Caenorhabditis elegans: one gene and its partner. The protein of the gene in region 1 interacts with the protein of each later gene in a biochemical or structural test. Each region holds a gene or a part of one and is shown in the gene's direction. Other genes may lie near its edges.

The links. Proteins that work in one complex are often made in the same cells at the same time.
Region 2: the proteins of smp-1 (region 1) and plx-1 form a complex in vitro, tested with the Caenorhabditis elegans proteins (one study listed by BioGRID).

The regions. Positions count from the first base shown.
Region 1 is NC_003279.8:14,805,287-14,810,918, forward strand, and holds the start of smp-1 (Semaphorin-1A), read left to right. Parts: upstream 1-2,175; 5' UTR 2,176-2,193; coding exon 2,194-2,299; intron 2,300-5,156; coding exon 5,157-5,259; intron 5,260-5,534; coding exon 5,535-5,580; intron 5,581-5,622; coding exon 5,623-5,632.
Region 2 is NC_003282.8:957,539-962,948, forward strand, and holds the start of plx-1 (Sema domain-containing protein), read left to right. Parts: upstream 1-1,982; coding exon 1,983-2,120; intron 2,121-3,307; coding exon 3,308-3,437; intron 3,438-5,410.

The DNA.
Region 1 (5,632 bases):
TTTATTAGTTTTTATTAGAATTTCCACCACTTATTTTAATCTAGCTTTACTTCTTTCCTCCTCTCTTATGTAAATACATGTTTCTTCTCACCTGGTCTTCTGCTCTCGTCCCATCATTGTTACGCTGTCAGCTTTACACATCAAACCTGCGTAATCTACTTTATCTGCGTTCAAGAATGCACCGATCTCTCTTGTTGGATTCTGGAAGATTAACATAGCTCTTGTACGCTATGAGAGGAAGATTTTGCAGTGTTCAGCTGGAAAGCTTGATTTTGGAGCAATTTATTTTCTATTTAACATTCACATTGTCAATTTTTTTCAGAGAAAATTAATGTTTACCCTATTTAACAACAGTCGATTTTCTCCAAAAATAATAACATAGGAATTCCGAATGTGAAATAAATCAAACTTTTTTGATGATCACCCAACAATTGCGTAAATCGACCCATGGCCGTGTAAGAGCTTTCTAGATCTTCCATTTTCAAACTTGATGGATTTCGAGAGTCTTTGAAAATACGCCAGGAAATATAATAAAATTGTGTAGCTTATTCGAGATAGATCTAGAAAAAATCAAGTAATCGTAATTTTGGGATATCGAAAACGAGAGACGTAGAGAAAAAAGTTCTAACAGTCTTGACTGGTCACTCGGCGCCCATGCACCCATTCATTCGCCAATTCACATTCAATTATTTGTTTGTCTCTGCCTCTCACCCTCTAGCCCTGGTCCTCGACTCTTTTCGCGCCACACCCACTAAACCCAATAACCTTTACCTAGTAACCATTCACAATCAACCTACTATTAGAATCATCTTTATTTAAAAAGCTGTTCTTCTTTGGAACTACTTACTTACTTACTTACACCAAGCTTATTATAGCGGATGTTTTGACCTGATCGAGTAGGAGTAAGCTTTCTCCATCAAAAGTGATTAAAGTTCTTCTCGACCATTTCAGCCGAATTTTAAGATGTTTTTCTACTACGACCATGAAAATACTGCCACCTATCTTATCATGCAACTATTTTCTCTGCTAATCTCTCAATCTACATTTCTCTCTCTCTCTCTCTCTCTCTCTCTCTCTCTCTCTCTCTCTCTCTCTCTCTCTCTCTCTCTCTCTCTCTCTCTCTCTCTCTCTCTCTCTCTCTCTCTCTCTCTCTCTCTCTCTCTCTCTCTCTCTCTCTCTCTCTCACTTTCAATTGCCATTAGACTAACTGTTAATGTGTTCTCCCTTGTTTCTTTGGGTATCTCTATCCCTCTCTCTTCTCCACCACCACCATCGGATCCACACCTAGCATCTGAATTCAGTGTAACTTTACACACACACACACACACACACACGCACACACTTTTCAACATCGGGTGCTGATGAAGATGCTACTACACATCTTCTGATTCCTCATCTTTCTCTTCGTATTCATTGTCGTGTTGTCTGCCACTCTCAATCACTCTTGACTGATCTTTTTTTAATGAATGAAAAAAAAATCATCAATTTTAATGATTTCATTTTATTAATCTGCGCTTTTCGTTTCCAGCCTTTTGTTAGTGCTTTAAATATTTTGACTTGGTACTTACATTATAGTCGTATCTCAAAAAGTAGTTACAATTTTGAAATTGTACCATGAAGTTTTTTAAAATACTTTAGGGAATAAAAACATTTTTGTATAAATTCCTAAAAATGTAAAGTAACTTCACGTTTAGAAAATTCTGAAATTATGATAATGTAGCCTTCATTTTGATGCTCAAATCTTCTAATCAGATAATTTAAATTTTGATAGGTTCCCAAATCTACAAGTGCCTTTTTTGTACTCTTGTACATTGGCACACATTTTGAAAAAAAAACACACACAATTTTTTATAATTGATTTTCAAAGGCCTATTTCCTCAGCTTAGATGTACAAAAACTAAATGTTTTTATTTTTCATAACTAAAAAAATACATTTTGAAATTTGTACCTGTGAGTGACACATACCCCGGGGTCTTTTTAGAGATTTGAACAAATATATTTGATACATTGTACACATCATCCATTTTTTTTCAAAGTTCGTTTTTAATGACCACTATTTTTTAATCACTATACTCCCCCTTCCTGTCGATGTATGTTTACGTGTTCTTCCTGCTATCAATAATTTTCTTATCGTTCTCATGATTTTTTAAAAATCAATTTTTAAAATTATACCTATTTCAGCCAATGCGATAAATGCGACGAATACTAACTCTTTTGCTTCTTTTCAATGTCGTCAGGAGCTCCGAGGCAATTACGGGCGGCGTTGTCAATTTGAGACCAAAGCAGATTATTAATTCAGGCAAGGTTTTATGTACCTTAAGTTAAATGCGACGAAAGAAAAACCGGACGCTTCTTTATCTAAAAAAAATTCCCTTGCTCAAACTAAATTCAATTGAATTCAATGTTCTATCCGCTATGATTCCGACTCCTGACCTCCCTTACAATAGCAAGAAAGGGATGAAAAACGATCCGAGCATCGCTGGCGCACGCGCAGGAGCGCGGTGCATCTTTTCAACTATCTCACACTATCCATACTCTGACGAAACAGAGTGAAAAGTTGAGAAGGGAACGATGCATTTACACGAAAATGGCTCATTTTCAGCAGAAATACTTTGGGTAAAATGTATAGGATGGCAAAATTCGGCAAAATTTCAAAAGTTGACCTATAGCTGGAAATGATATCTTTTTCCTGAAACTTTTCCTAGGACCTCCAGCTTTCCTCTCACTTTTTTCCACTGACCTCATCTTATGCCAATAATCTACCGTAGAGATCTACCGCGCAGTCGGACCTTGTATCCCCTTCTCACCAATGTGTGTGTGTCCCGAACAGCTTATCTCACTTTTGGGAGAACATATTTACAATCTTTTTACTCCCTAGATGTCACAACCTGCCTTTATAAACAATGGCGTTACGCTCGAGACCTAATCGAGTAAATATGAGAAAGAGAAGAGTATTGTTTCTTTTTCGAGAGTTGAGATAGTGACACTGTTTGGTTAGTATATTGCTGTTACTTCTCGGTTTAACTAGGCACTCGAGACTTCGAATGCCGACGCACATAAAATGTAGAATATGAGCGTTGGTTCATTAGCATGCTCTTCCGAACCCGAAACACTTGACGTCGTTCCGCTTTCAATGCCCATTAACGGCCATTTGTTGCGCAATCAAGCCTAGTTTCTCGTGCTCCGGGAGCCCCCCCTTGCCTTCTCAATTTCCTCTCTGGCATATGGTATTGTTGTCCTGCAACCAACATGGATCATCCGGTTACGTTCTCTTTGCAAATATACATGTGTATACCGCCAGGCGTATTGTTGTTCTCACCCCCTTTTTGCTGTCTCTCTCGACTTGGCGGTAAGGACCGAAAAAGAGCTCAAAAGAAATCTGAGCATGGTGAAGAGGTGGGGAGGGAGACAAAAGGAGATGGAAATTATGGTTGTTGCGTCATAAAAATCTTTGAGAGCAGGCACCTGTCACGAATGACCCTAGCAATGTAGATGATATTTATTTATGCAAAACAATCAATCATTAAGAGAATCCAAGAAGATGACTATTTGAATTGGCATCAGTTTGACACCTTTCAATAGGGTTCGCTCTTCCTAGCAGCAGGATGCAATGGGTTCCAGGCTAGGCTGGCTTGCAATATCAAAAAATGAATTGTCAAACAGCCCGCTCAACGTGGCAGGAAATACATACCGTATACCAGGGATGGGCGACAATTGCCATTCGGCAAATTTTTTGTCGGCAAGTTCGGCAAATTGCCGGTTAGTCGATTTGCCGGAAATTTTTAATTCCGGCACTTTGCCGGAAAAATCGTTTGTCGCCCACCCGTGCTGTATACCGTACACCTTCACGAGTGCAAAAATATCCGATATGCCATGTCAATAAAAACTGAAGCCATTCTGAATATCAGTGGATTTTTATTGCCTGTTGCAATAGAATACTGTAATAATTTTTGATGAATACAAAATCAGTATGCATCTGAAATTTACAATACGACATGACACCTCACTCTCAATCAAAATCAAAAGACAAGCACCTGTCTTGTGTCAAATATATATATATGTCCCGTTTAAATCAATCATGGTCTTGTCATCACACACCATCCTTACGCAGCAGCACACCAGATTTCTAATAAAGTGTGATAAATCGTGTTGGGTTCTGCTGAATTTGCATAACTTTTGAAGACTTATGCACACACACAGACAGACATCTGTCGAATGAACAACATCTCATTGATGATGTCCTTCAGGCCGACATACGATCCTCTTCAAAAGATGTGTCAAGATCTAAACCGGGGAGGGAATGAAGAACCTAACGGAATAGATATTCAATCTTCGAGATTCCATCTATATCGGAACATTTTTGGGAGAAAAAAACTGGGTCGGCGGGACAGCAAAAGAAAACAAAACATGAAATTGGTGGAAAGTTAAGTAGGAGGACAAGTGAAGTACCTGGGAATATGCTGGGGAAGTGTGTTGAACGACGAAGATTAGCCTACTTTCTTGCATACAAATTAGTTAACCTGGGGGTTCATAAATTCTACCATGCTTACTTGAACGCTGAGATTCGGCACAAAGAATCATAATTCTCCTACTCCACATCCTTTTTCTTTATAATGATAGTCATGATGCTCCCTCAGGGAATAGGCGATTAGTGTAGAACACATAGTATATGATTGCGCGATTTCTTGCCAGTCTTGAATCCTCGGGGGACATCGTCTCCCGCTTTTTCTTCCCCTTTCTCAAACTTGTCATCTTTTAAGAAGGACATCATGGAAAGGACCGGGGAAAAGTAGAGGGGTTAAATCTACTAAAGATGACCTTTATACAAATGAATTGTTGTTGGGTAATAAGTAATAAGCATGACATCCCACGTATAACGTATGTTTCTCCTCTCGGCGTCCTTCAAAAATGAATTCGTTTTAGGTAAATGTGTGTTCCTCCCCTTTTTTGCATGATATGTCCCTCAAAAAGAGGTTACCGCCGACTCCCTGTGTCCAAAATGAGATCGTTTTCGGAAATTAGATAAATTGGAAACCAATGAGAAAGAGGAGAGGAAGAAGGGTGTTCGGTTACCTTCTTTGATGAGTCGAACAGATTTATGAACAAAAAAAAAGAAACTACAATTAATTTTCCTATTAAATACACACTTTTTACAGTTGGAATCGGAGATCGCTTCGGTGGAATTGGCACATCGTCTGATGAATCGGACCACTTCAAGCTTCTTGCCGCCGATGGAGATTCACTTCTTGTTGGAGCGAGGTACTGGGATGTTTATTTTATCAATACTTAAAATAGCACATGATTATTGACCATCCATTCTACTGACCGTACAAAAACAAGTTTGATTGTTTGAAAGCTGATAAAAATCTAGCCGAAAATATAGGTTTTTGACATTGAAAACGAGACTGTTTGTTGTAACTGTAGATTCACAGTTTGTAGATTTCTATCTCTAATTCAACTTCTTCCGCTTCATGACCATGTCTGCAATGGACCTAGAAAAGAGACCGGGAAAATATATATGCAACTTATTTCAGAAATGCCGTCTACAACCTATCACTTTCCACTCTATCAGTCAATCATGTAAGTTCAGAGTGATCCTTCGCTATAAAATTTTTCGTTTAGAAAATCGATT
Region 2 (5,410 bases), on another chromosome or scaffold:
ACAAAAAATGCGGGAATATTTTTCCAGAAAAATTGTGACGTCAGCACGCTCTTAACCAGGCGAAATAAGATGAGAAGTCTGCGTCTCTTCTCCCGCATTTTTTGAAGATCAAATCGAAATAAGACATTCTGACTTCCCGTGGCTATTCTCTCCGAATGAAGCGCCCATTTCGATGTCGGTCCAACATCGTGGCGAGACCAGACAAAATATCGCCAAGTCAAAAATAGACATTATCCATAATTCCAGTATACAGGCTCCGCCCACTTCTTGGCTAAGTTCAATTTTTGTAACAATCTAGTATGTTCTCCTCATCAAGTCAAACATAATAATTCAACACAACACTGTCTGCGTCTCTCTGTCTCCCTTCATTCATTTTCATTACTTATTACACACCGACCCCCCAATAGTTGTGCTCGATAAAATCGCTCGTCGTGTCTGCGTCTCCTCTACCCCCTCCACTCTCTCGAACCGATCACTCGTGGTGGTGGTATATGTGTGTGTGGTGGAGTGTGATTCATTGAATGAATGAAGGAGACACCCATTGACTTTCGGAATAAGATGTCCTTGTATCTGTTCTCTGTGTGTGTGTGTTTCTCTGCGTCTCTCTATCTCTAGACTATCTTGTAAATTCCCCATCAGCAAAGTTTTGTGGTTTTAGGGCAGTGATCTGGTGATTTTTTCACTCAGAAATCTGTGGTTTAGCAGATTTTTCGAATTTTTTCCTCAAAATCTTTTTTTTTTAATTTTAGGTTTAAATAGTTTTTTAAGGGGCTTTTCAACTGATTATTTGATTTTTTTGATTGAAATTTAATTTTTTTTAGGAAAAAAAAACTGAAAAAATTGTAGATTTTTTGAATTTTTAAAAAAGTTGGAAAAATTTGACCCGATTTAAACATCTTAAATTTTTGAATTTTTTCTGCTTTTTCTCTATTTTCTTGTTTTTAGCCCACTTTTCAAATTTCAATTTAAAAAATTATAAGAAAATCACCTTTTTTATCGAAAATTACACGGATTTCTGGCTTCCCTCATAAATTTAAATGGAAGAGTTTGCCGAACTAGACCATTTTGGGTCAGAGAGATTTTGTGTAGATTTACGGCGCGTTGCGTGTCGCGTCGCGGCTCGATTTTAGTTGTAAAACTAAATTATTTATAAGTGTGGAGTACACGACTTTCCCACGCGTTGTCCGGCGATTGTCAATGGAGCGCAAAAAATTCAATGAGGAAGGCCAGAACCCCGTGAAAATTTCCAGAGAAAAGCATGTTTCCTTCAAGAAAACCGGTGGCCTAGGTTTTTTTCTCGGTCACGTTCAAAAAAAATCCCTCCAGTATAATTTCTGAGCTCTTTTTTTCAATTATCTTGATTAATTTTTAGAAAATTTTGAATTGCAGGTCACATTTTTAGATTTTTTGAAAAAATTTCAGAATAGTTGATAAACATTTTTCATCTTCGAAATTTAGACATTTTTCTAGAATTTTACAAAAAATTAATGTTTTTCTATAAAAGCCTGGAGTATTGATGGATCTCATTATGAATTTTCCCTAATATTTCCGCAAATTTTCTCATCTTTTCGGTAATTTTCTCCGACTTTTACTTATTAAACCCTTTTCCCCAATAATTTCTCAATTTTCTCCGAAATTTTCGGTTTTCACAGGTCAAAATACTTATGTGGAGCGTGACTTGACATCTTTTATAGGTTTTTTCGAAGTAAAAATCAATTTTTTGCACTTTTTTCTCAATCATTACCTAAAAAACATGTTTCTCCGGACTTTGGAAAATCCCGTAGCAAGCGCGCCCCATTGCCAATTTTCGCACAAAAAATATGCCAGAACACCCTGATTTCTCTATTTTTTCTCAATTTTCCTTTGGATGTTCGCAAGTTTTCAGTTTTTAATCAATTTTTCTTCATTTTCAGAACCCCCGAGCGGCCTCGCCACTATCAATCATTCAAATCGGGGCTATATGGATGAGAAATAGGCATGAAATGCCCACATTTCTCCAATTTTTCATCATTTTCGGCGTCGCCGCCGCCGCCGCCGGCTCGAAAAATGTCTATTCGATCGATGATAATCTAGTTTTCAAGAATCCAAGCCATGATGGACATGAGGTTTTTGAAAAAATGGTGAGTTTTTTATTTGGAAAAACCGAAAAAATCAGAAAATTTGACCCTAAAAAATGGTTTTTTTTTGAAAATATGAAAAATTTGATAAAAATCAATAAAAATTGTTGGATTTTTTGTTCTAATTTTGCGGAATGCCATTGAAATTATTAAAAATATCACGAAAAATCAATTTAAAAAAAAGTAAAAATCGCTAAAATCTAATAAATTCGCACACTTAAATTCACTGTTACCGTAACCCTTGTCGGTGTGAGACCCAAAATGTTAATTTTCGTGAAACTTCGCACAAACTCAAAAAAAAACTGTAAAAACCCGGGTGAAATCACATTTCGGCAAATTTGCCGAAAAATCGATAATTTCCCGAAAGATCGCACACGTGAAATTACTGCTACCGTACCCACCAGTCGCTGTAGTACCCAAAATGCTCAGTTTCTTGAAAATTCAAAAAATATCGAAAAAAGCCTGGAAAAGTGGCAAATTTAACCAAAAATCGATATTTCTTCGAAAATCGCAATGTGCTACCGTTACCCATTTTCGTGACGAGACCCTTCTTCTGAAAATATGTAAAAATTTGTACAAAATTGCACAAATTTAAAAAATTTCCAAAAAAAAAAACCAAATAATTTTTCGACAAAAATCGATTTTTTCCGAAAAAAGTACACGTGAAACTATCGCTACAGTAACCCATTTTCGTTGTGAGACCGACAAAATCGTGGCGGGACCCATATAGCTACGGTAGCACTAGTTTAACGTGTGCCGGAGAGAAAAAATCGGAAATTTATTGATTTTAACAGGTTTTTTTCTCGACTTTTCATCAAAGATCTTCAAATTTCAACCGAAAATTGATGATTTTACCATTAATATTTCTAACTACAGTAATCCTAATCTTTGCGGGACCATGTAGGTACGGTAGGACTCGTTTAACGTATGCCGGAGGGGCAAAATATCGAGAATTTATTGATTTTCAACATGTTTTTCTCGAATTTTCACCAAAAAATCGATACTTGTAACATTTAAATTCAAAGATACAGTAATCCTAATTGTGGCGAGACCCGTATAGGTACGGTAGCACTCATTTCACGTGTGGCGACTCTGGAAAATCGAGAATTTCGATTATTTTCAACGGATTTTTCTCAAATTTTCCACTAAAAATCGATAATCTACAAAAAAAAATTAAATTTTATTTGCAGGCAATCGATCCATCGACCACACGGGTATTTGTTGGTGCTGTCAATAGTCTTTATGACCTGACAAGTGCCGATTTAACTGTAAGAAGACATGTACAAACTGGACCTCAAGATGATTCGCCATTGTGTCGTGGTAAGTGGGTTTTTTTGGCGAAAAATTTGGAAAAAATCGATAAAAAATCAATTTTTTTTTTCATTCCGAAAAAAAAATTTTTTTTTTCGAAATTTTTTTTTCAATTAAAAACCCCCAAATTTATTGATTTTTATTTTTTTATTTTTCCCTATTGAAAAAAATTTTTCCATTATTTTCCAATTTACCTAAAAATTCACAAAATTTCTTTTTTTTTTTCCAAAACAATTTTTTTTTCAACTTCCATAAAAAAAATTGTATATTCAAATTTTTCACATAAGATCGCATGAAAAATCTGAAAAATAACTAAATTTTGCCTAAAAATCCACAGAATTCGCTTCATTTCTGAAAAAAAGTGATCTTGGATTTTTTTTCAAAAATTAAAAAAAAAATTTTTTCCCAAAATTTCAAAAATTCATAAAACTTCAATTCTTTTGTAATTTTAGAATGAAATCACCTATTTTTCACTGAAAATCATTTCTTCATTTCCAGAACAAAAAAAATTCTTTAAAGAAATTATACCAGCAAAAAAATTGTTTTTTTTTTGGAATTTTTTTAATTTACCAAAAATAAAAGAAATTATGGCCATACAACTTAGAACTTTATTAAAAAGCTGAAAACTCACCAAAATTTAATTTTTTCTTAAAAATACAAATTCTAAATTAAATAAAAATTAAAAAAATATATATAATTAAAATTTCTTAAAATTTCTTCACAAAATTTCACATAAAAATCTACACAGAATTCTCTTTATTTCCGAATAAAAGTAATTTTTTGAAAAATTTCAATTTTTTTTTAATTCCAAAAAAAAATTTTTTTTTTTCAAAAATTTCAAAATAACCATTTTTGCAAAAATTTTCAGAACTCGACACTGTTTTATTCTTTTTTCCACTCAAAATCACATTAAAAATCTTGAAAATTACAAAAATTTGCCTAAAAACACCACAAAATCTCCAAATTCTCTCCTCCATCCATCCCAAAATGTCATAAATTACTCGGACAACTTAGTCAAATTTCCCCCTTTTCTCCGTGTACTTGCTCCAAAATGCTCCAAATTAGGGGTCCACACGGATAACCCTAATTACCATAATCTCTCCTCCTCCACACATGTTGGCGGATGGAGACTATTCTGCCTTCTTCTTCCTGATTTAAAAAGGGGAATATAAGTAGCTTTGAGAGGATTTTCGGGGGAGGAGAATACACTTATAAAATGACAAAGGAATGCCGAAAATGGATGGATGGATGGGGGAAGATATAGATTTGAAGTAGTTAGTTAGTGGAAAAAGTGAAGCTAAGGGGTTTTTTTTGGCCAAAAAATGGGGAAAATTGGGTTGGAATAGCCGAAATTGTTGGGAGAAAATAGGTGAAATTTGGCTGAAAAAAAGACTGAAAATAGCAGATAATTGGCTAAAAATAGCCAAAATTTGACTGAAAATAGGCGAAAATTGCAAAAAATTGTTCAAAAATGGGCTGGGCATAGCCTAAAATAGCAGAAAGTAGGCGAAATCGACTGAAAACTGGCAAAAATTGGCGAGAATTGGCAAAAACTCTGCGAAATTGGCTGAAAATAGCTTTAAAAATTTGCCAAACAAGACTGAAAATAGCCGAAATTTTTGGGACAAAATTGGGAAATTTTGGCTGAAAATAGCCTAAAACCAGCCAGAAATTATCTGAAAATTGGCAAAAATTGGCTAAAATGAGGCAAAAACTATCTAAAATTGTCAAAAGTTGATTGAAATGGTTGCCAAAAATTGTCTAAAACTAACCTAAATTGACTGAAAATATGCGAAAAAGTGGCAAAAGTCGATTAAAAATATGCCAAATATGACTGAAAATAACCAAGATTTACTGAAAATAGGCAGAAATTAGCTGAAAAAACTGAAAATATGCGAAAAATAGCCAACTTTGACAGAAAATTGGTAAAACATTTTGTTAAAACTGATCAGAACCTACTAAAAATTTGTGAAAACCACTTT